Linked DNA regions of Lonchura striata. The protein of the gene in region 1 interacts with the protein of each later gene in a biochemical or structural test. Links are inferred from orthologs where the notes say so. Each region holds a gene or a part of one and is shown in the gene's direction. Other genes may lie near its edges.

Region 1 (7,632 bases):
ATGAGGGACAGATAGATTTTCTTTTTCCAGGGAATCAGGTTTCTGCCATCAGTGAAGCTGTTGTGCCTTTTGTTCCGTTCCCAACAAGGAACCCATTGAGCATTCTTTGGATGTATCTCCTACCTGGCCCTGAAGCCAACTGAGTCATGGCTGTGCTCTGCACTGCCTGGAGCAGGTATAAAATACAGAAACAATTGTTATTAGGAGAGACCTGTTTCTCTCTCCCTAAATGCTGAAGGCACCTCTTTCCCCACCTCTCCAAAAGCTCATGCTTGTGTTAAGCCTTCCTACCTGATCCAATCAGTCATTAGGCCAAAATATTCCTGGCCAGGATCACTTCTCATCTTTTATAAGTATATTTTTATGGTTATTTTGGGATGTGGCTTTTCAAGGCTGGCTGTGTGCAGTGGTCTCTGTTTAGTAAGGGGACTGAGAAGTGAAATGCTGCCAGTCATATATTGATCTGAAATCAGACATAAAGTTTGGGGTCCCCCAAAGGAAAATCGGTTTCTGTGGTGTTTGGGCTTCTCGTCAGGATTTCTGAAATTTGCTTCCAAGCCTAAAATGTTTTCTTTTCTTTTTGCTGTGGAGTGATGGCATCCCAAACTCCAGGATGGGGTAATTAGGAGCAGGTATCTGTGAGTGCCTCCTGCAAAGCAGGACCAGACTTGTTCAGCTGCAGGATGTCAGCTCCAGACCGCAAACCCTGGAATGACATTTTCCTCTCCCTGGAGCTGGAATTCTGTTGAAATGTGCTTTTGTTTTCTCCTCCCCTCTCTGGAGAAAGTGGGACCTGTGTGCTCTGGAAGCAGCACAAAACCGAGGGTATCTTTTTGTATCCACTTAAAAGCCCCATCATTTGTTTACAAGTTCTTAAACCTAAAAGAACCATAAACCCTGACTGTACTTGGTGCTGTGTTTACTCAAGTTTCTCCCTCCTGGGGGACAGTGCAAACAGCCCTGGCAACTTCAGTTCTGTTTACAGTTTCTGATAGTTTTCTCTTTCATGCTTTCACTCCCTCACATAGCCCTACACTGAAATAAGCTAGAAACATAGCTGTGTGCTCATTAAAAACTAAATTTGATGGATAACTTGCTCTAAATAACTTCCCACCTGGGCTGCAGATCTGTTCTAAAAATTAAATTAGAAAAGGTGAGGAAATGCTTGTATTTTACATGGGGTTTTGAAAAAGCCTTTTTCAGGTAGGTAAAGGAATATTTTACAAAAGAAATTCTGTGTGAGGGTGGGCAGGCCCTGGCACAGGGTGCCCAGAGCAGCTGTGGCTGCCCCTGGATCCCTGGCGGTGCCCAAGGCCAGGCTGGACATTGGGCTTGGGACAGTGGAAGGTGCCCCTGCCCATGGAATTGGATGAACTTTAATGTCCCTTTCAACCCAAAAAATTCCACGATTCCGGGTGCAGTTTGAGCCACAACCTCTCGATGTTTGGAGGCAGAACTGGTCCGTGCAGCCTGCAGAGCTCTGCTGGGTGCTGAGCACAGGGAGCACGGGCAGATCCCAGGTCCTCAGCAGTTCCTCGGGAACCCAAAAGGATGGACAGCTGTGAAACAGCTCCTCTGTGTCCCAGGAACAGCCAAAGCTTAGGCCAGAACCACATGGAATTGGGCAAAGCATTATGGACCGGCCGTGCATAGATTTAATTCCAAAAACCCAAGTCGCCTCCCACTCTCCCCCCACATGCTGTGAGGAGATGTGTGGGTTTCAAACAGATGTGCTCCTCCTTCTCTTCGGGTGCCAAGGGCTGCATCCTGCGCCGGAGCCACTCGCTGGTTGGCATCCAGGAAAGGGAAGGTGACTGATCCAGGAGCCGGGCAGCGATTGTGTCCATGACAACCGGCAGACACGGCCTCGCCGCCTCGCTCGGCTCCTTCCTTCCCCAGCGCCTTCCCCGGGCACATCCCGGCTCGCGGCTCCCTCGGCTGCATCCAGCATTCCTGAGAGAAAGGTGCAAAGCCCACAAACGAGGCACATTCCCTGGAGCCAGCAGCTCGGTCGGTTCTGCAGCAGAAATCCGGGGCTGGAGCTGTGTGCTTCACCGAGAGGCTCCGGAGCTGCGGATGGGGACGGGTGGATCCACTGAGATACCGCGCGGGACAGGGGGGCTTGGCAGACTGAGAGTCTGCGGGGCCGGCAGGCAAAATGCACTTTATTCTGACAAAAAAGAAATGGTTTAGATGTGCTGGATGCCTTCAGAAATGCATCTGAGCTGAGCAAGGGAACGTGGTGCTGACCTGTGCAGGAATGTCGGCCGAGGTTGGAGGTGTTTGCTCCACAGAGCCTCAGTCTGCACAATCCCTGTTCAGGGAGCAGGAACTGCCTGGGCTGTGCTTCCTCGAGAGCTCTGCATCCCACTGCCTGCTGTGGTGCAATTCCTGCATTCCGACCACTGCCTGGACCTGCCTTGGAAAACGCTGGCATTTGAGGCAGCTGCAATCACACCCAGCGTGGAGGAACAGAAAGAAATCTGTCAGAAAAGCAAAAAGCTCTTAGAGGCAGCCAGTTTTTCTCATTTCCAGGGCCCCTGCTTTGTATCTTCAACGTGGTTTTTACCACGCTACGGAAAAATGTTCCTGGGATCAAAACAAGGTGATCCATCATCTCATCCTCCATAGTGGCAAAACAAAGCAGAAGAGGCAAAGAAATGAGATGGTGAATGGAGAGCCAGGGATTAAAAGACAGGATGTGGAGTTCAGGTTCTGCCCTGACACTGAAAACCTGACTCAGTTTCCCTGTGAGGACAACAACGAGCTTTGGATCTGATTGGTCAATATTAAAAGTACAAAGAGGGTTGCTGCAAGCTCTAATTAATTGACTGTCTTAGCAAATTAGAAGAGTCTGTAAATTGTAGCAGATATTTGGGATTCAGCCTTGCAAGGAAGGTCTTGTGCCTGTGATCTTTTTTGCATTTCCTTGGGTGTGTAAAAGCAGCAGCCCACAAAGCAGGCAGGGGATGAGATGCCCATGCATTCAGAAAAAAAGAAAGGATGCAGTGAGCCATGGGAGCACTGGGTTACTGTGGCCATGGGGAGAATCACTTGGCCAGCTTTTGGAGCAGTCAGGCAAAATTGGATCTGGTAGTGATGATACAGATCAGTCTCCATCTGCTCTGGAAGTGCTTTGGGGGTGTCCTGGTTTCAGCTGGGATAGAGTTAATTTTCTTCTTAACTGGCTTAACAAATGTTGTCAGCGTTTCTGCAAAGGAAAAATGTTACACAGCCAGCCAGCTGCAGAGGCAAAAATATCTACAACTGTATTGGAGGAGGATTTGATGGTTTTAAAACCAAACTAAACCCGCAGCATTTTGAACTTCTAGCAGCACTGACAAAGCATCCAGCTGATCCCAAGTCTCTGTTTACCACAGCAGCAGCTCTTCCCAGCCTGCAACTGTCTCAGAAAAATGCCAGGCTGTATGTTTTAATCACTGTATTTAGCCATGACAGTCACCCAAACAGCAGATTTTGCTTTTTGCACCCTGCTTCCAGGATCAAGGATGCTTTTTATAGCTGTTCTTTGACTGGAAATAAATCCTGGGGGACACCGCTACCTCATTTCTCTTACCCTGACATCCTGGACTTAGCAGCAATTTCCTGTGGCACATTTCACCTTCTGTTAATCCAGCTTGGATTCAGCATTACCTGGAGCAGGAATGGAGGGAAGGTCAGTCTGAGAACTTCTGGCTTCTCTTGGGCTCCTGGAGCTGGCGATGGAGAGGCCGGAGCGTTTCCCCCCAGCATCACTGTGGTGTCACCACAACCTTTTTTGGGGTGTTATTTACTTTTGAGATACTGTAGAGCTACCTCAGCAAAATCCTCTCCTTTAACAAAAGTAGCTGCAGAGAATAATCACAAGTCATTTGTGGTCTCCCCAAAGTCTTTCATTTGCTGTTTTGCTAAAAGGAGTGGACAGGGTAATCTGGCAGTTTTATTTAGGTGAAGCTTCATGATTTCTGTCTTTGTCAAGTCCTGAGGCAGCATGTCTGTCTCTGTGTTATGAAATATGATGGATTTCCTGCATCCCAACCTGGCAGGGGTGGAAGCAGCAGCACTTCTGTCCCCATGCTCTCCATAGGCCTTGATCTGGATATTGCCCATGAACCTTTCACTGCGGCCTTCAAGAAGAAGACTTGATTTTCTACTGTAACTTTTCAACACTTCCAAAGTTATTTATTTGTAACTTAAAAAAAGCAATTGGTTGGACAGGAGGGGACAGCCGGGGGGGTCTCTGCTCCCAGAGAACAGGGACAGGAGGAGAAGGAATGGCCTCAGGCTGCCTCGGGGGAGGTTTAGGTTGGATATTGGGAAACATTCCTTCACCAAAAGGCTGGTCAGGCATTGAAACACGCTGCCCAGGTTGAGTCACCATCCCTCGAGGGATTTAAAGCCGCGTGGCTGTGGCACTGGCAGCGCGGGTTAGCGGTGGCCTGGGGCCGGGGGCATGGCGGGACTCGATGCTTCGCCGGGAGCTTTTCCAGCCCCGGCGATCCCGCGCTCCGACCCGCCGCACGCCGGGCTGGGCTTGCCGGATGCTCCGGGCGGGGGATCCCCGCAGCCCCTCCCCGGCGGCTCCCGCCCCCCGCCCCGCCCCGGCCCGGCCCGGAGCCGGTGCGTGCCCGGCCCGGCGGCGCTCGCAGCCAGCCCGGCGCGGGCAGCCGGCGGCAGCGATGCCGCTCGCCCAGCTGGCCGAGCCCTGGCCCGACATGGAGCTGGTGCATCTGGACACGGAGGTGAGCGGGGGGGCTCCGGGGCGGGGGGCTCCGCCGAACAAAGGAGCGCCCGGCGGGACCCGCGGAGCGGCGCGGGCCGAGCCGCGCCCGCGGCGGGGCAGCGCGGCCGCGGAGCCCGGCGCTGCGGGGCTCTGCTCGGGGCACCGCGGCTCGCTGCTGCCCGTGCGGCTCTGATCGTGCCGGGAGTGCAGGCAGCGCTCCCCAGTCTGCCGGGCACACGGCAAAGCGGAGCCGGCTGAAGGCCCGGGGAATAAAAATCTCAATTTTGGGGGTTTTCTCCCTCACCCTCCCAGCGCCGTCTTCTCGCAAAGGCCTGCGCCGCCAACTCCGACCACGCTCCGGTGTCACTTTGCTGGACTCTGCTCTTCCCTCCCCTTTGGCTCTTTTCCTCCTTACTGAGACCCCCAAGCCAGATGTGCAGGATGGAGCTCATCCCCTGTCCACATCTGCAGGCTGGCACAGCCATTTCTGACGGAAGGGACAGCTTGCAGCAGTTGTCACCCATGGCAGAGCAGTTGTGCTCTGTGCTCTGGCACTCTTCAGTTAAACGTATTCTCACTCAAACTGGAACCAGCAGCTCTCCCGGAGAAACCAGAGGGAAGGTGGGGGTTTGGTCCCAGGTGTTTCACAGACCCTGGTGCTTTCCTGTCGTTCTCTCTGGATTTCATGCTGTCACACTCCGTTATCATACCTGGGGATATCTCCGTGGTTAATTGGTCAGATTTGCTCATTCCTGTTTAAAATTGCCTCTTCAGAGGTCTGTGCTTTGAGCAGCGGCAGCGCTCCCGCCCCCGCTGCAGGGAGGCACTGGCCATTGAGGTGAGGTTTCCGAATTTTCATCAGCCAGCTATGGCACAGCTTCTGCAGCCCCCGTGAGGTGGGCAGGCTCTGCCTGGGCTCAACACCTGGCACGAAGGTGGCTGAAGAGCCTCTGCTCTGGAGCACCGGCGGAGCCGTGAGGAGGAGTTTGTGCTCCAGGCTGGGAGAGGAGGGAAATCCTGCGGCGATTCCCAAATCGCGTCATGTCCCCGAGCCAGGCCGTGGGTTATTGCTGCGAGTCGGGGCTTTTTATTTGTGGTTTCTCCTTCCTAAGAAGAGAGATGCCTGAAAAGCCAGGAAACGCCACTCGGCTCATAATGGGAGGAAACGAGTGCGGGTGCCCAGGGCAGGGGAAGCCGCGGGCGAGGCTCCATTCAGTGCCTAATCCCGGTGTCCCGGTGTCCCGGTGCCGGCGGGCGCCGTGTCAGCGCCACGGGATCGCTCCGAGCGGAAACGGCCGGGGGACCGGGCGGCAGGCACCGATCTCCCCATCGCAGGAGCGGCTGCGCTGCTCGGAAGCCGAGAGCGGAGGGAGCCTCTGGCTCTCCCTGCCCCGTCTCACCTTGGCGCAGCTCCGGGGCAGGGCCGGGCGCCACGCGCGGGTGGGATTGCAGCGGATCAGGTGTTTTGCGTCTCGGGAGCTCGAGTGGCACTTAGCAATTTGCCTCTCTTTGGTTTAAAATGATGAGTACACGCTCTTAATTCCAGCGAGGAATATAATACAGGTGTTCTTCACCTCCACACCTGGTCAGACGTTAGAGAGCTGCCTGAGGTCCTGCAGCAGAGCGGGAATGGGGCTTGGGAGGAGTGTTGCACTTTGAGGCTATAATCGCCAAGGGCAGGGGCCCAAGGGGGAAGTTTTCACCCCTCCTGGGAGAGGTGGCACCACTGAGAAAGCAAGGAGACGTTTCTGGAACACTGGTTACGTAAATTGCCCTGGGATCGCTGCCATCCAGGTTAGAAACCGGCTTCCTCCGACCTTTGCTTTCTGAGTCATGGAGCAGAGGTGCTGTCACCGTGCTGCTGGAGGCATCAGTCCTTTTGTTGAGGGATTTGGGGTTTTTCCACTATGTTCCAGGAGAATTGGCCGTGTGGTGCCCCTTGTCCCGGCCCACCAGAGCTCAGCCATGCCAGGGAAACGCGTGGGAGTGGGTGGCAATGGGAGCCTGAACTGCTCCCTGACAGGAGCCAACTCCCTCTGTCCTGGACTCTGGGCTTTACAATCACTGCTCCTGCTTTTATTCCCCTTGCCATTCTCTCTTCTGCTTATATTATTCCAAATATTGGTTATTGTAGCAGAAAAACGTGGCTGGGGCAGAGTACAAAAGCTGGAGAATGGAGTTGAGTGACGCAGAAATCCTTCCCTGGGAGGGTGGGCAGCCCTGGCACAGGTGCCCAGAGCAGCTGGGGCTGCCCTGGATCCCTGGCAGTGCCCAGGGCCAGGCTGGACAGGGCCTGGAGCAGCCTGGGACAGTGGGAGGTGTCCCTGCCATGGCAGGGGGAATGAGGTGGGCTTTAAGGTCCTTTCCATCCCAAACCATCCTGTGTTTCTTTGATTCCATGACTTCATCCCCATAGTGGTGGATCTGTCATCAGGGCTCCGCTTTGCTTCAAATTCTTCTTTCATTACACAAACCTACAACAATGCAACTGACGTGGGATTACGCCAAGCTCCACCACTTCAAGCTAATTATTTTTGCCTGTATATACGTATCACCCTTTATTGAGCAGGAGCTATTAATGAATAACTCTTTTCTCAAGCATGGTAGCTCGAGTTGTGCAAACTACGATCAAGAGACAAGGGAGACAGCTGAGTGGCTGTCATCCCTGATATGCCTTGTGCAGAGCCTCCTCTGTTTGGGCACTGGAGTTCCTTTGGAGATCTCTATTCTTGTAGAATTATTTCCTTTCTCCAAACTGTAGTAGGCAAGATCCATAAATTCTACTTAATGGTAATAATTTAAACATGCCTTGTTCTTGTGTCAAACTAGCAGGAGCTCTGGGGTGAAGGGTTTCTCCCTCTGCTCCTTCCTTGAGTGCTTCATGGCTCATCAGAGTTGGGTGGAAGAGC
Region 2 (7,612 bases), on another chromosome or scaffold:
CAAAGCAGTACAACTCAGGTCAGAGGCAGACTCATCCCTTGACCAAGCTTTTAACCTGTTGGCAGTTGTTTGTGTTAAGCAAACAAACAATTTTCTGTCAGTTTTCCCCCATATTCTCCATCGCAGGGTTACAGAGCTTCCTTCAACTGAGTTGTCTTTCATTTAATGAGTGTTAGTTTAAAAGGATTTGTGATGTTTCAGTTGCAAAATGATGTTGAATATGCAGCTGGAAAATTGAGGCATACAGAGGATCTGTATTCACTGCTGATTTACTGTAAAATCTTGGTTGAAACATCTAAAATTCCCAGTCCAGAACTCTTGCTGTTTACAGGATTCCTGAGGAAACATTCAACACTGTTCTCTGCTCTCTGATGATCAGTGATAGTAGTACTGAAGGCACAACATGGAACTGTGTCAGAGGAAGTTTAAGCTGGATATTGGGAAACAGTTCTTCTCCCCATAGGGTGGTTGGGCACTGAAATGGCTCCTCAGGGCAGAGCAGTTGTCATGCCCCAAGGCTGCCAGAGCTCAAGGAGTGTTTGGACAACACTCTCAAGCACATGGTAGGATTTTGGGGTTGTCCTGTGCAGGGTCAGGAATTGGACTTGATGATCATATTCTATGATTCTCTGATTCTATTGTATGCAATGATCAGTAGTTCTGCATTGCTCGAGAATGGTTATTTATATGTGAAAGAGGAGCAAAGAAGGATATACGACTGTGTGGATGCTATTCCTGCTGGTACAGCCTCTCATTTGCCTGCTGTGCTGATGTGTTTATGAAATACAGGCAGGTTTATGATGCAGCTTTGCATCAGCGAAGAATGCATTGATCCCCATCTACAGCCTGCTGGGTTGATACATTCTCCTTTCCCAGGTGAGGAGCACAGACACCAGGGATTGGTGTCTGCCCAGGGTGACAAAGACTTCTCTTGAGGCTTGAGTTTATTCTCTAAGCTTTACAAAATTCCCTGGTAAGGTCTGGTTCCACGGCAGCTTCTGCTCCTGTACAAGTTAATTTATGACATGTTTTAAAGTTTGCCTTCAGATAAATGTCTCTTAGAGTCACACAGTTTTCAAATAGACAGTCCTGGATATGTCTGTCAACAGAACAGCAAGTGCCTGGCTTTGAACCACTCTTATTCAACTGTGATTTGTTTGTGCTTCCTCAGAGGCATGGAGCTTCCTGAATAATTTCTGACCCTGTGTTTGAGATGAGGGCTCTGTTAGGGAATAACACTGTGCCCACTGCTGCTTCCTGGCAACTGATTTTGTTTTCAGTTAATGCAGTGGAGTTAACCATCACTTGTTGGTTCTCCCAAAAGCTGTAAAACATTGTGGTCAGGTAGTGGTGTTGTGAGAGAGACAGAGCTCCTGTGTGCCCAGTCACCAGGAAAATAGGAAATAACATCCTTCTGCATGAACAAATGCCATCTCTGTATCAGTGCAACTGGCTTTCATGTCATCCTTGCTGAGGAAGAAGGTGTTCTTATTTTGTGTTTGTGCATGTTGTGTGAGTATTTTGCCTCTGTGGCACAGGATTGCTGACCTATACGTCACACCAAGATTTGCATGGCAAGCACTGGGCATGAGGAAAAGGGCTTCAGAGGAATCTAAACACAATACCACAATTCCTTTCCTAACCACTCTGAGACAATATGTCTTCATGCTCTAATTAAACAGCGGTTTGACATGTTTTTGCTGTTTTGATTGCCTTTGAACTTTGGCAGTGTGATAAACAAACTTTACTTCCTTTCCTACCAAAAACTGTGCTGCCTTAAAAGAGTTTATGTCCTTCATTCTGGTGTGACAGATCTTAGCATCCTCTTCTTGTGGCATTCTGTATGTGCTGATGCCAACAGCAGAGTGGACTGGCAGCTGTCACAGTGTGATGGGTGATGAACCAGGGATGCTGGAGCTCTGATGTTTCTTTGATAGCCCCTTTTAACTCACTGAGAGCTCCAAACATTAATGATTTCTCAGCCCTCAGCAGGTCACCACTGGTGGGGGTGCAAGGGCACATTCCTTTCTGATCGTGTCCAAGGCTGTGCAGACACTTCATGTGTCTGGGATACGTGATGAGTAATATGGAACAAGAAATGAAAGCAAGACAAATGGACTAAAGCTGTCAGCCAGTTCCCAGGCAGCCCGTACATGTTTCGAAGTTTGTTCATGGAGAGCAGGAGGAATATCCTTCATGTAATGTACAATGAACTTGCCCAACTTGCTAGCATAATAAAATTTGCAACAATTAGGCAGCTTGTTTTGGCTTTTAAGTTTATATGGAAGCATACTCTTAAAGACAACAGTACTTTCATTGCAGAACAGCAGTTTCATTGGTTTTTTTACCAGTGTTATTAATTGGCATATGTCAGTATTTTGGAGCTGCCCTCCATTTCAGGTGTGTAAATGCAGTGCACATTTCAACCCAAGGTTTGAAGTCTTGGCCAGTGAAAAGACTGAGCTGTAATTTCCTAAGGTGAGGGCTGGACAAACCTTCTGCTTAGGGGGAGGGACAAACTTCCAACCCTTGAGCCAGTCAGACACTCATCTCTTCCTTGAGATATCCACACTGTCTGCACAGGACTCTGTGTATTCTCTGGAACATCTGGCAAAAGCTACCATCAGCAGCTCATAAATTACAGCTCATGCCTGATGTCACAATTCCCATGTGAAAAACTGAAGACCTGTTTTAAACAATGTGACAGTGTCTCTTTTAATGTCCAGTTCACAAGCTTTCAGCCTTTTTGCTTCTATTCTGCAAGCGTGAAATAAAATTTATCTCTGGTGGCTTTTTCCATGCCTGTTGGCAGGCAGCCCAGTGCGCCTCAAATAGCAGCGAACACGATGAGCTGAACCTGTGCTTGTAGCATTTGGTTAATGTCCCCAAAAAAAGTATGGATTACATTGTTTTACCCCAGCAAGTAAGATTGGTGTTCTTCTGACTTCTTTGGAAACATTCTTGCTTTTTTTTTTGTAAAAGCCATAGACTACTAGGCCTTAATGGTAGACAAATCTCTAAGAACTGGAAAAGGGAAAATTTCTGGTTGCAGAAGTTACTGTTTTTTGTTACGAGCAGGTTTCTTAGTGGTTTCACTTACTATTTATCGCTGCAAAATTCAGTGTTGAAATCTGATACTTCTAACACACTGTGTTGTCCAGACTGAGGTGAACACAGGGACACAGCAATGGGAACAAAAATCCATTGTTTTACAACTCAGCAATTATTCTTTAGGCTCTGCAGGCACCAGCTTCTTCACTTCCTCCTACAGAAAAGAAAGCAGTACTTCAGTCATAGCTCTTTATTTGCAAACAGTGGCAAGGTTATACTTTCTCAGGACTCAGATTTTTTTCCAGCCCTGCTGCTCCTTACAGACTTCAGCCCACTGGGCACAGCTGGAGCCTTCAAGATGCTCCTAAAACATTGTAGACATCACAAGAGATTTGCAGTGAAAATTCAGCCTCTGATTAAGAGAAAAAAATTTGAGGACTGGGCAGTGAATTTTGCAATTTGAACCAGAAAGCTTTCAAATAATTATTTTCCAGCTTTTATAGCAGTGACACTGATTTTGAATGAACTTTCCTCTGCTTCATACTTTTTAGTGTTTCCTTTCTTCGGCAGCTGCACTGTGCTCCCAAATGCTGGAATGTACATGTCGCATACCTGGCGTGTAATCTGCACCTGGCATGAGTTAATTGCTATGCTGAGTTCTGTGAATCACAGCTAAATAAACAGGCTCATGTGAAGAGAAAACCCACTGGATTTGTGTTTCCAGTTGAAAAAGTATCTGCATGTTTATATTTAAATTGTTCCGAGCTCTGTTTTGGCCTGAGGTCATCAAACTACTTTGAACCAACTGGTTCCAGTGGCAGTAGCCATAGGAATGCTGGGAATACACAGGAGTGGTCTCCGCCTGTCTGATTGTGCAGGCACTAAGTGCAAACATGAGAGCAGATTATGGACACCCCACCTCAGCTCTCACACCTATCTCAAACCCAGCTGCCAAGGGGGTCTCCTGGCTAAGGGGTGACCCTGGCTGAAGGTAAACTCTTCCTTAGGTGGGAGCTGACTGGGAGCTCTTAGCTGATAAGGCCCTGGCTGAGGGGAGCTCCTGTCTGAGGAGAGATCCCGACAGAGATGCTGGGTGACAGGAGACCCTGCCTGGGATGGGCACTGACTGAGGAACTCCTGGCTGAGGAGAGATCCTGCACGACGCAAGCCCTCGCTGAGAGCGACCCTGCTGCAACGGGCGCTGGCGGGGGAACTGCCGGATGAGGGGGTATCTCGGCCTAGGCGGGCATTGCCCGAGGGGCTCTTTCCGGGCGAGGAGGACACACCCGGAACGTGCCGCAGCTCCTGGGGGTCCCGGCGGGCCAGGTCTAAGCCCCCTACGTGCCCCGGCTCGGCCTGGCCCGGCACCCGCGCAGCCTCGGACCGGCAGCCCCGCGCCAGGGCCGCGGCCAAGGGGCGGCAGGGCGCGGCGGGCCGGGAGGGGCGCGGCCAGCGAGGCAGGCAGGGCGCGGCGGAGACGGGAAGAGCGGAGCCTGGCGGGGAGGGGCGGCGGGGCGGCGCGGGGCGGGGCGGCGCGCTGGGGCGGCAGTCGGGCGGCAGCCGCGGCCGGGGCGGGAGCGGCGGCAGCGCGGGGTGGGTAGGGTCGCCCCGTGTTGCGGCATGTCCAAGACGCTGCGGAAGAAGCGGCACTGGCTGAGCAAGGTGCAGGAGTGCGTGGTGTCCTGGGGCGGCCCAGCGGGCCCCGACCCCGATCTGCTGCGCGGCGGCGCCGAGCGCGGCGAGTTCCCGTACCTGGCGGGCCGGCTGCCCGCGGGCGGCGAGGACTCGCCGGGCCCCGCGCTGCTCTCGGGCAAGGCGCCGGCGCCGGGGGACGTGCTGCTGGAGGTGAACGGTACCCCGGTGAGCGGCCTCACGCACCGCGACACGCTAGCCGTGGTGCGGCACTTCAGGGAGCCCGTACGCCTCAAGACCGTGCGCCCAGGTGAGCGCCCTCCACCGCCGAGCTGGACCGAGGCCCTCCCGCCGCCGCCCAGCCGGCCGCGCGTAGGCCCGGCCGCGCCGGCGCCCTGGGGCGGCGGGAGGGCCGCGGCGGGGAGCGGCGCCCGGAGGCAACCGGGCGGAATCCGGGGCGCGGGTGCCCCGCTGGGAAAGTTTCCGCGGGTTCGGGAAGGCGCCGCTGCCGAGAGGGGTGATGCAAGGCAGGAGGCGGTCCCGCAGTCTCGGGGCGGCCTCAGGACGGTGCTCTCTCCCCAGTCCCGTCCCGGTAGCCTCTCCCGAGGGTCCTCTCCCCGTCCGGAATGCCCGGCTTCGCGATGCAGCGTTTGTGCGGGTGTGACCCTCGCGGGGCTCTGGGTGACTCAATGGCCCCTGGAGGGTCTGGTGCCTGCGTCCTCCTCTCGGAGGTGCAGGAGGTGCTTTCCGTGGTGTTTATATAATCCGCTGCTTGCAGAGGTCGAGGGTGGGTGGGGAATGGCCGGGATGGAGCACCGGAGTGCCATCGCTTCATCCTCTTAGTTTCCCACTTGGCAGAGATAAAAGCCCTGAGAACAAACTCCGGCTGTTATTTTTTCCACAGATTTGTATTATTTTTGAGTACACTTCAATTAGCTAGTGCTTGTGGTAACATCATATTTATCAACGTGCCTGTTAAATGTCAGAGTAATGCTGAATAGTGGCGCTTGCAGCTGCATGAGTTAATTCATGAGCTCCAGAGGTACCTTCTGCTTTCTTGGTCAGGCAAACCAGATGTGAGCCTGCTGCCTTATAAGAAGGTGTCTTGGGAAAAAGTATTTTTCTCTGAATCTCAATGGATATCAGTATCTCTATTATTAGGGTCTATAATATTTCTCCTAGTGCTTCTTTGCTGAGCACTTGTCTTGTTCTTCTTTGGTAACTGCTGGGTGCTCTCTGACTTCATGTAATATGTATTTTAAGTCGGGTTTTCCCTGTTTGACCACTAATGGAAAGTCATGTTCCATATAGAGATTGTGCTGTTGGTCCTGATTCATATAACTTGCTAAATTAAAGCAACAATCAAAAAAAAATCCCATGAAACAGACACACATCTTAGAAGCCTGGTAGGTTTTGAAAAAGGTCTTTATTTACAAAATTGGAAGTCCCTTCTGAAGGGAGAAAATGTAAAAGAAAAAACAGCTGCAAGTTAGATGTGAACTAAGAGGATTTTAAAAAGAGAGACAAATTGTTTAAGATAAAAAATAATCTCTTTTTAAAAGAGAAAGCTTGTGAAAGATGAAATTATAGTTCATAGGGATTTCTTGTATTTCCTATGGAGGGAGTATTCTTGTGCTGGTAATTTCTTAACAGCAATGTCAAACTGGCAAAAAATATTTAGAAGAAATAGCTGCAATTAGCAGTAGAAAATGGCAAGAGCTAGATGATGTTCATGAGGGCTTCCAGGTATTAACAGTAGTGCATTGCCTGTTCCTTAAATTCTGGGTGGTGTGAAAGGGAGAGGAGTGGGGAGTATAGAGTACTGATAAGAAAAGAGTCCAGAAGGTCAACAGAGGCTGGTTGGTGATTCCAGCAAGTTGATTAAAATTTGAGTTTTAGAAGAGAAATAGAACATTGGGCATGTGAACCAATACCACTTAATGAGCAGAGTGGGCTGCTTTCACTGGCTGGTTTAATCAAATCCGAGTATTTTGGTGAGGTGGATTTTCAAATAGGCTTTCAGTAAGGTATCACTGACTTGGATGAGTCTCTTGCTGAGTGAGCATGGTGTGGCAGTGTAGCTGCCAAAATAGAAGAGCAGAATTCTCCTGTGGCTTAGTAACTAGTTAAAACAGAGGAATGGTTTCTTCAACAGAAGAAAACTGCTGCTGGAGTCTTGTAAGGACCTGTGCTGTTTAGCATAGTCATCCAGAGCTTGTAAACCTGATGCTGGTGAGTTGTACAAAGAGAAATAGCATTTTTGTGCTGATTTTATGTAACTTTTGGAACAGATCAAACAAAATCTTCAGAACCAGCAATTTTTCCCATACTGGAGCATATGTACCGCATCAGATGATTTTTGTAGTCATTTTCTCAGTTAGATTTAGTGTCCTTGAATACAGTATTTTAAAATATACTGGGTTTTGGTTGTTTTTTGCAAGGCTGCCACAGCTGCACAATGGCAATTTTCCAGTCAGGGTATATGTAATTAGGGAAGTTGTTGACAAGGCATTCTCTGTGAAGACCTGTGACTTTGAATTTGGCTTCCCTTTTGATCCAGAGCTATCCAAACCCGCCAAGTTTTGGAAGGCGTCTGGGAAGGTGCATGTGACCATGCAGGTGGTTGAGATGAAGGGAGTGAGGGCCAGGAGCTGGTGGTCCCTGGTAGGCACATAATACGTCTGAATTCTCAAAGACATGTAATTGTGTTACTGCATTTCAGGGTCCTGTGTTTCATGATTTTCCTCAGTCAAAACTGAAACCATCATTTGAAAGGCATGGAGTGCTCTGCCAGCAGACCTTTGTGTGCCCCATGGCTCTTCAGGCTTGGGTGCTATTGGGATAGAAGTCCGAGGGAATCTAGTGTCAGGGACTGACAGTGAGGGATTTGTCTCCTTGAATCTGAAGTGTAGGGTGTTTCTAAGGTCTC
Region 3 (6,933 bases), on another chromosome or scaffold:
CTGGCATTTTTGCCTGTGCTGTATCCCAAACTGACATTTCCTCACCCTTCCTTTGACAAGGGAGCAAAGCTAAGTGGGAGAGCCTTAATGGCTCAGCAGTGGTCCCACCCCAGCACTACCTCTGAGGATGAGAGAATTTACTAAATAAAAACGACCTTCCTTAGCTGGGGCAGTGTAATTTCAGCCCTGGAACCCAAACCTCTCCTCAGTTACAAACCTCAGGCTTTGAAAAGAACATTAAAGTCTCATGATGAGAGGCTGCTTTTCAGACTTTTCTCTTTTTTTTCCAAAAGAGAACAGAAATGTGTCTCCAGTAGGGAAAGCTCCATTTGTGCCTTCTCCCATGGACAGAGGCAGCAGGGAGAGGGAAATTTCAATTCCCTGTCAGCAGTCCAAGCTGTAATCTCAGTGCAAGGCTGCAGTGGCCTTCAAAAGCTTTAATTTATAAATAAAGTATCTATTCCTACATAAATGTCACATTAAAGTGTATCACAGAATTCAGCACAGCATCTGCCCAGCCACGGCTCCAAGTGAAAATGTTATTCCAGTTCTTGCCTGTATTTTCCATCCAAATATTTGTGTAGTTTCAAATAGCCCAAGGAACCTGGTCCTGACGTCACCCTGGTGGAAATCAATAAAAGCTCTGCCTCTGGCTTCAGGCAGTGGCCTCGAGCATCCTGGAGCGACAACTTTGAAATCCTAAACCCAAACCTCCACAGCAATCATTGAAGGAATTAATTTCATTCTATTTACAACCATCCTGAGCACACGGGGCAGTTTATAAACCGGGGTAGAGGAGTCTGTGGGGTGATGGTGGCTGATTTGGAGCAGCTCTCTCAAAGCAGCCTGCTCAGGACCAGGTGCACTGCTGGATTTCCCCATCAGAGACACAGCAGCTCCAGCAATGAGCACCAAACCCCCTCAGCTGGACTGTGTGCATCCCCTGAGCAGGCAGTGTGGAGTTTTAGTTCATTTAAATGCCCCTGGAAAAAGCAGATGCTGTGATTGATAGCAGCAATCCCAAGTTTTGTGGCAAAGTGGAGGACGAGAGAGTCCTGCTAGGGAAGTGTGAACTGACACTGCAGCTGCATGTGGGGACTCAGCAGGGCAGGGCTGCTGGCCCCAGGGGATGGAGGGAGCAGAAGTGGCACTGAAGGAAGGGGAATGGCAGGAGGGACACGTGAGCAGAGATATCCCGAGGAGAAACAGATGGCAAAGAGAAGGAAGATGCAAAAGGCAGTGAAACACAAGAAGAAGTATGAGAATAACTACTGCAGTTTAATTAGAAGAATCCAAAAGTCAGCAATATACGTGTATTAATTAAATTTTATCACCCTGCAGTGCACACAACCTTCAGATGGAGTTAACAGAAACCTATATGCACAGTTCTCTATTACATCATCTGCTTTTTTTTTTTTTTTAAAAAAAAGGAACAAATCTGTTAAAAATTCCTTAGTTAGGTATATCACCCTAAATATTGATGCATGCTCCCTTCGGCAGGGCAATGTATGGAGCCAAAAGCAACCTCAAGCTTTATGGAACATTAATAATTAGAATGAGCACTACAGATGGAATTCAGATTTGAAAAGGAAAAAGGCTTAGCACTAAAAAATACTTGCCTGAGACTGAAATGGGAACACAGTTGTGTAACCACGAGTCTTGTTACCTTCTAGAGGTCACCAACACACAAAAAGTCATCGCAGGCATTCAGAAAGTTGCTTTACTGGGACATCACAGACACACAATAAAGGCCACTTGAAGCTGAAGTTTCTCGCTGGCTTCTGCTTTGCCATAAAGAAAAACATTTTAAAAGAACAATTGAGCTGCTCTGTGGCTCTGGTGCACGTGAGAATTCTTCATCACTATCCACAATGAACAAAGCTGGTCTCTTTTATTGCTTTTTTTTTCAGTACTTGAATATCTGCCTTGTAGGAGAAATTGCTGTTGCCTAATGCTGTGCCTGGTGCTTCAGGTGTGGTCTGGCTGGCTTTTTACAGCATATTCAGGAGTGCTTTTCAATCATCCCTGGGCAGGAACAGGTATCAAAAGTGGTGGCTTTTAATGAGCTACATCAGCTACATCCAAGGGGCAGCAACGGGGCATTAGCAGCCTGTGCAAACACAGAACAATCTGATCCCTTTTCCATGAGGATGTGGACAGCACTGGTTGCTGAGGTTCTTGTTCACAGATCCCTTGGGGGGATTAGAATGAAATGACACTGAATGGAGTATTTTTATTTATATAAAATATACGGCAAGTTTATTTTGGAACAATTTGTATGTAAGGGAAAGGAGGTACATAGCTCTTCTGGGTATTATCTATAGTAATAGAGCAATATGTAAGTATATTACTCTATTAGGAGCAATATGAAAGTATAAGATCACTTAAGAAAATAATTAGGAAGAAAGAGAAAGAAAGGATAAGAGTAGACAGTGGAAAGGAAAGATATCACCACCTGTGGATCCAGAAACAAGATTTGACTGCTGCAGTTTTGATGCCCATTTGTCAAAGTGATGGTCTCAGCCTTCATCCATCAGGGCTACAGGAAATCCATGGAACATAAAGTTTGGTGGCATAACACAGGTTCAGATTCAGGTGCTAGTGCCTCCCCTGGAGGGGGAGTTTTCCACTCTCTGTTGCAACACTGGATCATGAGTCTGGGGGCACTTTGGGAATCTTTGATGGTTTATGGCCCCTTCTCAGACATGACTGCACAGCTGAGCCAGTTGTGCCTTCTCAGAAGGGATGAAAACTCTCAGGTCTGTGTGTGAACGTCCCGATACCCCGACCCGAGAAGGCACTTACACCTGAGCCAGGTGTGTAAGGGAGGACATGGGCATGACAGAAAGCATTCCCCACCTGCACAGGGTCTGTTTCTTACCAGCTTTCTCCCCCATCTGGCTCAAAACTCGGTTTGTTGCTAAACAAAGGTTGATTTGTCGTGGCCATCCTTTGGCGGTGTGTGTTCATCCCCCCCCTATCTGGGCTGTTCTTGGGCAGATCAGAGATTTTGCCACCACACACCCAAAACGTCTTCATCTCTCCTTCAGCTGCGGGGTGCAAACCTGACCTCAGCAAAGCACCCTGGTGCTTTTGCAAATCATTAACCCTTAATGTTTCGGTCCTTCACACACTGGCAGACCCTCACACACCGGCAGATTGTTCTGTTTGCACTTTTTCTCGTCGGTAATGTAAGAATTCACTCTTGAGGACTGAGGAGTCATCCCAATTTCTAAGCAACTCGTCCAGGACCTGACCCCAGGGGCAACTCCGTGAATGCCCTTTCCAAAAGTCATCACAGAGCCATTGGATGGTTTGGGTTGGAAGGAACCTTGAAGACCATCCGGTTCCAAACCTTTTACCACAGTCAGGAACGCTTTCCACTACACCAGGTAGCTCGGGGCTGCCCTGTGCTCAGCCGATGCGCCCCGCGTCGCTCCGAGCGATCCCTCCCGTCACCGCTGCCGGCGGCCGAGGCCGGTCGCTCTCACCTTGTCGCGCCCCTCCCAGCGCTCCCCCTCCCCTCCATCCCCTCCATCCCCTCCATCCCCTCCATCCCTCCCTCTCCCGTTCCCTGCTCTCACCCCGCTCCCCCTGCGCGGCCCCATCCCATCCCATCCCATCCCATCCCATCCCATCCCATCCCATCCCATCCCATCCCATCCCATCCCATCCCATCCCATCCCATCCCATCCCGTCCCCGCGGGTACTTTCGCTCGTGTGCGCGGCGCCGCCCCGGCCGCGCTCCGCCGGCGGGCTCGGGGGCCGGGGCAGCAGCGCGGGGCCGGGCGCAGCCCCGAGCCGGCACAAAGCCCGGTTGTCCGGCGGGGAGCGGGGCCGGGGGCGGTGCCGGCCGGGGGCGGTGCCGGCCGGGGCGGGCGCTGCGCGCAGGCGGCGGCGCGGCCGCGGCTCCTCCCGGCGCTCCGGGACCGGCGGGGACGGGGCACGGCCGCGGGCCGCGCCGGGGGCTCAGCTGCCTCTCGGGCGGCTCGGACTTAATTTATTCCCGTTCTCCGCCTCTGCCCCGGCCCGTCGCTGCACTCCGGGTACTTTTTCTGGGTTGTTTTTTTTTTTTTTTTTCTTTTTTCCTTTTCTTCTGTTGTTTGCGGCGGAGCGGAAGGAGGATGGGGTTCGAGCTGGATCGCTTCAGCGGGGAGGTGGATCCCGACTTCAAGTGCAACCTGTGCAACAAGGTGCTGGAGGACCCGCTGACCACCCCGTGCGGACACGTCTTCTGCGCGGGCTGCGTGCTGCCCTGGGTGGTGCAGCAGGGCAGCTGCCCCGTCAACTGCCAGCGCATCTCCACCAAGGAGCTCAACCACGTCCTGCCCCTCAAGAGCCTCATCCTCAAGCTGGACATCAAGTGCGACAACCACGCGCGGGGCTGCGAGGCGGTGGTGCCGCTGCAGCACCTGGGCGAGCACGCCGAGACCTGCGACTTCTCTCCGGCCAAGTGCCGCAACCGCGGCTGCCGCCAGGTGCTCAACCTGCGCGACGTGGAAGCGCACATGCGGGAGCGCTGCGAGGCGCGGCCCGCGGGGCTGTGCGAGCAGGGCTGCGGGCTGGTGCTGACCCACGGCGAGCGCCGCGCCGGCGCCCACGGCTGCCTGCGGGCGCTGCGCGCACACGGCGCCGCGCTGCAGGCGCGGGCGGCCGCGCTGGAGAAGGCGCTGAAGAAGGAGGCGCTGCGCGCCGGCAAGCGGGAGCAGTCGCTGCTGTCGCGGCTGGCGGCGGCGCAGCTGGAGCTGCAGGTGACGGCGCTGCGCTACCAGAAGCGCTTCACGCAGTACAGCGCCCGCCTGGACGCGCTGGCCCGCGCCCGCGCAGCTTCCCCCGGCAAGGTAAGGATGGACCCCGCGCTGCCCGGGGTCCCCCGGGATGCGCCTGGTCCCTAGGGATGCGCCTTGTCCCCCGGGATGCGCCTTGTCCCTAGGGATGCGCCTTGTCCCTAGGGATGCTCCTTGTCCCTAGGGATGCGCCTGGTCCCTCCGCATGTGTCTTGTCCCCCGGGTTGCGCCTGGTCCCTCGGGATGTGTCTTGTCCCCCGGGATGCATCCTTAGGGATGCGCCTTGTCCCCCGGGATGCATCCTTAGGGAATGCGCCTTGTCCCCCGGGATGGATCCTTAGGGATGCGCCTTGTCCCCCGGGATGCACCTGGTCCCTCGGGATGTGTCTTGTCCCCCGGGATGCATCCTTAGGGATGCGCCTTGTCCCCCGGGATGCATCCTTAGGGATGCGCCTTGTCCCCCGGGATGCATCCTTAGGGAATGCGCCTTGTCCCCCGGGATGGATCCTTAGGGATGCGCCTTGTCCCCCGGGATGGATCCTTAGGGATGCGCCTTGTCCCGTGCGCGGCGCCCGGGGCGTTCCCATGTGCAGGGTTTCTCCTGGAGAGCCCATCCGGCCGCAAATCTTTTCAAATATTTGAGCTTTGGGGTTCAATAGGGGTAATACGCCGCTTTCTCTAGGCGTATCTTTAAGTTGCACATCTATAGGTACATCTTTCTGTAGGTATGTTTTTAAGTGTGATCGTCATTGCTGGCTGGACTCCTAACTCGCACAGAAAAGTAACAATTCGCGGTGTTACTGTTTTCTCTTGGTTCTCTTCCCCGAAGAAACTCTAAAAGTGGAATTTCCAGGGCTGGAAATGGTATTAAGGCAGCAGAAATTGACTCCCAGGAGTCACACAAAGCGGAGTGAATTGGAAGAAGCCGCTGTGATCCGATGCTTTCCAGAGCCTGAGCTCACCTGGCATCCCACAATAGGGCTTCCTACAAAATGCAGGCTTTGGGGTTAACTATGATGCAACTTGGAGATCTCACTGGCTATTTCAGGATCTGTGGTCATCATCTTTGTAAAATCCACATCCACATACAAGATATTTGCTGTGTACTTGTGATTTTTTTTTTTCCATCATCACACAGGGTTTTTTAATTAGGAAGGGAAAAATTAACTTGATTTCAACCCCTCAAAATTAGACCATTTATAAAATGACCAGAATTAAATGCCAGAGCTACAACAATCCCCAAGTTTTAATTGGAATGAGGCTCCCCAGCGAGGAAAGCCCTGGAAGCCAATTATCTTTTAAATTAAGACATTCAGAGTCCTCCCAGTGACCTGGAATGTGCTACCACAGACACAGCAGTATTAAACTGTTCAAAACTGTCAAACATCTGTATTCACACCTCTGGTAATGTTGAGGCTCTAAAAGCTGTGTAAAGGAAATAAAACTTCATGTCAGAGGATCTTTTTTTTTTTTTTTTAACCTTCTTAGGAATCCAGGACAGAACCCATCCTTCTTTTCCTAACTCAAACCAGAAAATATTTTAATACTAAATGAAGTGTTCTAACTTCAGGCAATACTGGGTGTGTGCTGGTCAAAATGCTAGTAATACCATTAAAATAAATTGGGGGTTCACAGTCATATCAAGATTCAGGACAGTGGTGTCTCCCCCTTTTCCTGCAGCACTTTGCCATGGCATTCTGGGGGCTTTCTGCTCCCACAGCCTGGCACACAGCTCCATCTCCACTGCTGATGGCAGGAGAGCCCTGCACACTGTCCTGCTGTCAGAAACCATCTCACCCAACCCCTGCCTCCTCCTCTTTGCTCTCCTTTATTCCCACACCACCCTTTTTCCATGGCTGGTGCTGCTGATGTTGGGTTGGCATCGTTTAGCTCTGTACGGTGTAGGGAGCTGCTGTAATCCTCAGAGCTGCTCCTTCTTGGCTGCAAATGTTCATGACACATATTTTCAGCTATACTTCCTATCAGATTTATGGGTACAGCTGGCCCAGACCCCTGTGCCGGGTCCAGCCCCGTTACAAAGGGCTGTTGTGCAGTTCTCTGGAGCAGCCACCAGTCTGGAGAAAGCTGGGAGGTGTCGTGTCACCACAGCCCTGGTCAGCCAATTCCGTGCCTTTCACAGCATTTT
Region 4 (7,164 bases), on another chromosome or scaffold:
TCAAGGGTGTGACTGCAGAGCACACCTCCCAGGTCAGGCACATCCTGGAAGGTGCTTTTGTCCACCTGTTGTGTTGGAAGGTGCATATTTCAATTATGATTTCCCTAAGGTGCCCTGGTGAGGCATCTTTGTTCACTACAGGTGTTGTATAGGGACTTAAGATGACTGCTGTATATTCTGCTGGGTAGCATTAGCAGTAAGTGAAAAGTGAAAAGCTTTTCAGGACTTGCTTATGGCTATTTAGTGAGTAAAAGAGGCAAGCCAAAACTCTAGACCACCCACTAACTGGTTTTTAAGACTAGTTCTCGTTTTCCTGGTGGCCAGAGCGAATTGTTGATTTATTTGATGTTATACATAGTTGCACAAACATAGAGATCATATAGTGTCTTTGTGCTGGTGAATAACATAAATTACAAATGTTTTCTGGATGTAATCTTCTTCTCTCAATGTATGCAGCTTAGCTGAATTTTCTTTCCTTAATTGATGAATGCAAATACTTGCTCAGGTTTCAGCAAAAATCTGTACACTCTCAGACTTGAACACTTCCCCCAAACACTTTTACTATGCTCAATGATAAACTGTAGTACAGAAAAATTCCTTGCTGACTTAAAAATTGCAAAAAAAAATTCTTTGCAGATTTCTGATGATAACAGCTTTTAATAGCAAATGCTCAGATCTAAGTTCTTAGAGTGAAGTTGCTGAGTCTTCCTAGGTCTAGATTAGTTACAGAATTTTACTAGTGTGACTGGAAAAAGAACCTTTTTGTGAAATTCTGTGGATGAATAACAGGCCAATTTTTTATGAAAATGAGGGTGGGAATATAAAAATACATATTTTATTCCCACATATGTGAGTTGAAAGCTTGCAGGATTTCCCCCTTTGGCTTCAGTGGAGCCTGGAGCCTTACAGAAACCTTCAATATTTCAGAGTACTAATTTCTTATTGTCTTCTGATATTTTCATCAGAAGACTTGGAAACAGCTGTAAAATTCATCCTTTAAGCTGTAGATCCTCCTAGGATGAGAAAAGAACTATGGGCAAATATGACCCTCTATTTTTAATAGAAATAGCTCTTCCTCCCAGCTCTGATGATCAGGAGCAGCTGGGGTTCTGTGCTGGTAAAGAATTCCTTCAGGACAGTTACCTTCACCAAAATCCTCCCACAAAATGTGTGTGTGTGTGTGTGTGTGTGTGTGTGCGTGTGTAGGTACCTGTGACTAAGGAAGCAAATGCTTTCTTATCTCTAATTACTTTTCCTGCCTTACTGAGCAGAGCAAAAATGAATGTGTTAGAAGCTCTTGAAGACATGGACTGATCTGGGGACAAGGCTCTGCACATTTATTTGATCCATGACCAGGTTCAGTCCCAGTGTGTTGCTATAACAGCTGTCCCCAGTGTTCAGGAGAGCACTGCTGCTCCTATGCTCTTCAGCCTCTCTCCATCTCCCTAAATCTGCATTTCCTTCTTTGACCACCTCAATGAACCCATGACTGGAGTGGCTGTAGGAAACTTGGAGCTGTGGGTGCTGAGACCCTGGAGAAGCAAAAAAAAATTATAATTATGTTGTCTCTTTAAGAATACTTCAGGACAGTAGGAAGATTGTGTTTTTCATTTCCTGATTACATCAGAACTAATAGGACTAATTATAGGAATCATCTTTTGTAAGCACATTGGTAACATTTGCATGTATTTATCCATGTGTATCCATTTCCATGGAGGCCTGGTATGCAGACAGCTGTTATCTTTAGATGAGTTTAGTATATTTGTCTGTATTACAGGTTCCTGCACTGGAAAATTGTTTCTGCAATCAACCCAGTTGCCTGTGCTTCCATTTGTGCTGACATCATGGCAAAGAAAGATGATCTCTTAGTCCAGCACAAGGGAAGAAAAAGTCAACTGCCTGGAACTGTTTAGCCAGTGCATTGACATTGTATCAATGCCCAAAATGGGCCAGAAAGGACAGAGTTGGTTTTTTTAAGTATGATTACCATAGGAAGCCTAAACCATTGTTTAATTAATCACCTAATCTAAAAGAATCTGAAAGTCTCCAGGGCTCAAACCTTGCTACCTCCTTCCTTTGACTGCCTTTATACTGGTGAATAAAATGTGCCAGGGACCCCAGAAGGACTCACAGCCTTGCCCTTAAGCCTCCACCTCCCAAAGAGGGCAGCCACCCCAAACTATCTCTTGGCACTTGCCCCTGCAGTGCTAATGCTGTGTCCAGCTGTGGTTTTGGAGGCTGCTCACACATCTTCACCAAAGCCATTTCAAGAATCACACTAACAGAAGCAATACCAGTTTAACAGATTATGAAACAGTGTCAGAGCCTTTTCTCTGCCCAGTTTAATTTATGAATGAAGACATTACTGCCTGTGCTCAGACCTGAAGTTCTGGGCCATGAATAATGAGGTCAAAGAGATACATTGGGACACTATGAGACAGAAGAGTATGTAAACAAATAATGAGGCCAAGCTAATAGTTAAATTTAAAAATGGAGAGGAGGACACTATTTAAAAATAATTTTCTATAGCATTTTGGATGACACTGATTTGACTCCATGAGCAAAGCAATTGAAATCCATGGATAGATTATTAAAAAGCAGTATGAATAGCACAATTACTCAAGGTGTCTGATTTCCTTTTTCATGTGGGAAAATGTGATTTTGATCTGCAATGAAATATTGGATTACAATGCATTGTCTTCAAGATGAGAGATATTTGATGGTGCAGTTCATTTGCTTATTTTTTTTCATGGCCATGGTAATCCAAGAAAAACTGTGGGTTTCCATTTGGCAAGTAGATTGGTCATGCTTCTCACTAGTATTTGTGTCTGTAGATGTTTTGTGAGGTATTGCCAATCTTTTTTTTAAGTAAATCATGAGTATACATAACATCTGCTATCCCAGATTCAGTTCTATGGGCAGGTATGTGCAAGGTTTTCCTTCTTGCTTTGGGGGAAAAAAAGTCTCAGCTGTATTGCTCACATTATATATTTTTAGTCATGGAAAAGAACCATTCATTACTGGGTCTCAAAAACCCCCATAGCTTTCCTAGAGGGATGCTTCTGAGATTCAGAATTTGAAGTAGAAATTGCAGAAGTGGTGAGGACACACCCTGGCTCTAACCTCAGAAGTTCTCAGCCCAGGAAATAATCTGTGATCGAGCCTGGACAGACCAAACCTGTCATCCTTTCCAAAAATGATGGTGTCTGATCCACATGAGAAGGAGTCCACTGAAGAAACCCCTCAGAGAGCTCCATCCCTCTCTGCTCTGGGAGGTTTTCCACAGGGCTGGGGGCAGCAATCTGGCCCTGTGTTTTCAGTAGTGAAGTTATGTGGGGAATGTGTTAGGGGTTTCATGTTTCAGTGTATGTTGTGGGTTGTGCAGCAATGAAGGGGTAGAATCCAGGCAGCTATTGATCCTAACTAGGCTTTTCCAGATTTTGCTGTGTTTTAGCTTTTCTTTAAAGAAACGTATTGTTTATGCATATGCTGTAGTTTAAGGGAGCCCAACAAATAATTTTGTTATCCTGACTTATTTCCTTTATGGTGTGACAGCAAAGAGAGCACTAGTACTAGGGATTTCAGGACTCTGTGTCCTGACAGATATCCCAAAACGGGAGGAAAAGAGAGGAGGAAGCCTTTTGGAGAGACATGAAACCGGCGTGCTCACACGTGCGCGTTATTTACCAGCACAAGTGTGCATCAGTCGGAGCCTGAGCGATTCGCTGTCCCGCAGCCTTTCAGCTCCCTCCCTCCCTCCGGGCCCACAGCCCAGTCCCGAGTGACCCGCCGGGACACAGCTCTCCCGCCGGGACAGTGCCCGCGGGGGGAGGGCGGCGGGCGCGGGCCGAGCGGCGGCGCGTCCCGGCGCCTCGGTCCCTGGCCCCGCCGCGCAGCGAGGATGCTCCGGGAGGGCGGAGGTGGTGCCGGCGCTGGGCGTGGGGCGGTAGCGCCGCGAAGAGGGAGCTAATGCGAGAGGGTGGGGAGAGCCGCCGGGATCTCCGTCTCAGCGCCGCCGCCCGCCTCTCCCGGCGCAGCCCCGCTCCTCCGCCCGCCCCTCGCCGCCGCCCGCCGGGACCGGCTCCAGCGGCGCCGGGGCCAGGCCGGGGTCGCGGCGCCGAAAGTTTCGCGGTGCCCGGCCGCGCCATGGGCTTCGACCCATCGCGGTTCGCGGGGCCGGTGGCGGCGGAGCTGCAGTGCGGGCTGTGCGGGCGGGTGCTGGAGGAGCCGCTGTCCACTCCGTGCGGGCACGTCTTCTGCGCCGGCTGCCTGCTGCCCTGGGCGGCGCGGCGCCGCCGCTGCCCGCTGCGCTGCCGGCCGCTGGCGGCCGCCGAGCTGCGCCCCGTCCTGCCCCTCCGCAGCCTCGTCCAGAAGCTGGAGGTCAAGTGCGACTACAGCCCGCGGGGCTGCGGCCGCACCGTGCGGCTGCGGGAGCTGCCCGCGCACCTGGCGGCGTGCCGCTACGGGCCGGCCGGCCCCGCCGAGCCGCAGCCCCTGGCCGGGCGCTCCCCCGGCCGCTCGCCGGGCAGCGCGGCGGGGCAGCCGCGGGCGGACGGCGGGCACCGCTGCCTGCGGGCGCTGCGGGGCGGCGGCGCCCCGGAGCCGGGTCAGGAGCTGAAGAGGGAGGCCCTGCGCTGGAGCAGGAGGGAGAAGTCGCTGCTGGCGCAGCTGTCGGCGCTGCAGAGCGAGGTGCAGCTGACGGCGCGGCGGTACCAGGCGAAGTTCGGCCAGTACATGAGCCACATCAGCAGCATCGCCCGGGACCTGGCGGGCGGCCAGCCCGGCAAGGTGAGTGCGGCGTCAAGGGTCGGCGGGGCAGCGCGCCTGGTCTGCGCCCCTCCAGCTGTGCTCTCCTCCTGCTTTGCCCGTACCCGATTTGTGAGCCACCGGCCGAGTGACGGGGCGGGCGGTGCCCCCGGGGCCGGCAGTCACCACCACAGCAGTCCGGGACCCAGCCCGATCTCGCTGCCCATCCCCCGGGCGGTACGAGCCGTCTCTCGCCTCTTTCGGGGAGATATAGTCGCCGGTCCCTGTTGCCAGATGAAGAGTTTTGTTTTTACTGATTTTTTTTTGTAACACCTCCACTGGGGACACGCTCCCTGCCTGTCCCTCTTCCGGCGCCCTTCGGTAGCCGAAATCGGTGAGCCCAGCAGTGCTTGGCAGAGGCTGCGACCGAGCGCTTGCTCGGCCGGAGAGAATGGGGAGCGGACGGGAGGGGAGATGGCTTCGCTCCTGGGCTGGCAGCTGGCAAGCGGGTCCCGGCTCGTCCGATCAGGGTGTCCACATCAGACCGCCCCGCCTCGCAGGGACCCAGCTGCTCTTGTTTCTCGTTTTGCTCCAGCTGGTACTGGCGGCAGCTCAGGGGCGTGGAGCTGGCTTTTAACTTTTATTTGAGCAGCTAGAAGTCGTCTTAAAAAACTTGAGTGCAAACTTATTGTAGACTTTGGAAACGATGGCAAAAGGACAGCGAAGCTTTGGGAGAATGGCATGACAGCTACCGCCGTTGATAAGCAGAGGCCGGAGCATTGCTGCGCTCGCCTCTCAGATCTGAGGGCATTGCCCAGAGACCGACACGCTCCTCAGGCAAAACAAACCATGCGAGAATTGCGGTGAGCTGGCTTCACTTGCTGTGGTGGAACTGGTTGGTTTTTAATTCCTGCCTGGAAGCTCACTGTGTAGGCTCAGGCACTGCTGACTGCAGCCGTGGTGAGAAGTATTTTAATGCAAGGAATTTTTCTTTCTACCTAAATCTACCTGGGCCCTTGGGAAGCAAAATCCCAGGTGGAAAAGGTCTGAGCAGTGAAACTCACACCCGAAGAAGCAATGTAGTGTGCTGGGCATCTGCCTACTGCATGGAAAATGGGAAAGGGGACGTTGTTCACAGGACACAAGAATGCCTCAGAATACAGGTCTCGGAGGTCTTGAGTAATTCTGAAAACTTGAGTAATTTTTTTTTTTTTTACGTTTCCTCTAGTTAGCTAGTTTGTGAGGTTTAGGTTGGTGGACCTGAGAGGTTTCATACACTTTCTTCATCTCTTGTCAGACGAGATAAGGTCATGTGTTGTGGGACAGCAGTGGGACAGTGCCTGCTCGGGGGGTGGCGAGGAAAGGGGTGGTGCGGCGGGAGGAGCGGCGGGACTGTCGCTGGGGGCCGGCCGCGGTGCGGAGCGGCGCTGCGCCCGCGCCGCCGGCAGGTGGCGCTGTGGGCGCTGCCGCCCGCGCATCTCCGTCGCGCTGCGCTGTTCCCGTAGACATGCACGGGATTAAATTCAAACCTATCGTTCGGGCATAAGACACGTCACTGGCACAGTTAATAACATGTGGGTTTCAGCGTAAAGTAAGGTAACTTGCTGTGCTAAAGCCTCCGATTTTCAATTTTAAAATATTTTAATTATTCACCTGGTCCACTGAAGGAAAAGATTTTTTCTTTTCTCATCTTTAACCTTTTCTACGTGTATACTTCTCAGTGTCTGGTTTATACTTTAAGCCTTTTTTCAGACTACAACCCATATTTTTACAGATGTTTTGGATTCTTTCCTTTTGGAAAGAAAAAGTTTGGGATAAAAACTGGTTTTCATCTTCTCTGTGTTCTCTGAAAATCGCTTTAAAATGTGTACTGGTAGGACTTTGGGGTCTGAAATTTATAATGTTGTGTATTTTAATCTGTATGTTTAATGTCTAAAATGTTAACACTAATAGGGATTTTATGTTTATAGACACTTCCAGACATTTGGAGCTCTGACTTTTTTCAGTGGTGCCAAGCATTCCTGACACCTAAAATCTGTCCTTTTTTTCTGTTCAGCTGAAGATAACTGGAGATAATCAGGTGTTACCTGCTAACTTTTCAGTGAATCTTGTCTTTTCTTTTTTTTTTTTTTTTTTTTTTTCCAGTGCCAAGTCTTTTCAGCCTAGTTTTTCTTCAAGCCTTATCTTATATATTCTCCAGCTAAAATCTTACATGAAATAATGTTTTCATTTAATAACTTCTTGTTGAGACTGTGTTCTTTAACAATGTTTAATCTCTTTCTTCTTAGGGAGGAGTACGCAAACCATTAGTGATCATGCTACACCGAGAAAATGACACTTTGGGATTCAATATTGTAGGAGGACGACCCAGTCAGGTAATGCAGAAAGTAACTGTAGGTGATTTTGCCCCCATCTACT

The links.
Region 2: the proteins of RPS6KA1 (region 1) and MAGI3 interact in a test that uses a peptide from one of them, tested with the Homo sapiens proteins (2 studies listed by BioGRID and IntAct). The link is inferred for Lonchura striata from reciprocal best matches to the Homo sapiens genes RPS6KA1 and MAGI3.
Region 3: the proteins of RPS6KA1 (region 1) and PDZRN3 interact in a test that uses a peptide from one of them, tested with the Homo sapiens proteins (2 studies listed by BioGRID and IntAct, with this or other methods). The link is inferred for Lonchura striata from reciprocal best matches to the Homo sapiens genes RPS6KA1 and PDZRN3.
Region 4: the proteins of RPS6KA1 (region 1) and PDZRN4 interact in a test that uses a peptide from one of them, tested with the Homo sapiens proteins (2 studies listed by BioGRID and IntAct, with this or other methods). The link is inferred for Lonchura striata from reciprocal best matches to the Homo sapiens genes RPS6KA1 and PDZRN4.

The regions. Positions count from the first base shown.
Region 1 is NC_134628.1:279,875-287,506, reverse strand, and holds the start of RPS6KA1 (ribosomal protein S6 kinase alpha-1), read left to right. Parts: upstream 1-4,632; 5' UTR 4,633-4,679; coding exon 4,680-4,742; intron 4,743-7,632. UniProt on the Homo sapiens protein: Serine/threonine-protein kinase that acts downstream of ERK (MAPK1/ERK2 and MAPK3/ERK1) signaling and mediates mitogenic and stress-induced activation of the transcription factors CREB1, ETV1/ER81 and NR4A1/NUR77, regulates translation through RPS6 and EIF4B phosphorylation, and mediates cellular proliferation, survival, and differentiation by modulating mTOR signaling and repressing pro-apoptotic function of BAD and DAPK1.
Region 2 is NC_134632.1:5,997,605-6,005,216, forward strand, and holds the start of MAGI3 (membrane-associated guanylate kinase, WW and PDZ domain-containing protein 3), read left to right. Parts: upstream 1-4,592; 5' UTR 4,593-4,671; coding exon 4,672-4,993; intron 4,994-7,612.
Region 3 is NC_134614.1:21,033,260-21,040,192, reverse strand, and holds the start of PDZRN3 (E3 ubiquitin-protein ligase PDZRN3), read left to right. Parts: upstream 1-3,930; 5' UTR 3,931-4,124; coding exon 4,125-4,841; intron 4,842-6,933. UniProt on the Homo sapiens protein: E3 ubiquitin-protein ligase. Plays an important role in regulating the surface level of MUSK on myotubes. Mediates the ubiquitination of MUSK, promoting its endocytosis and lysosomal degradation. Might contribute to terminal myogenic differentiation.
Region 4 is NC_134607.1:38,354,254-38,361,417, forward strand, and holds the start of PDZRN4 (PDZ domain-containing RING finger protein 4), read left to right. Parts: upstream 1-4,146; coding exon 4,147-4,788; intron 4,789-7,034; coding exon 7,035-7,121; intron 7,122-7,164.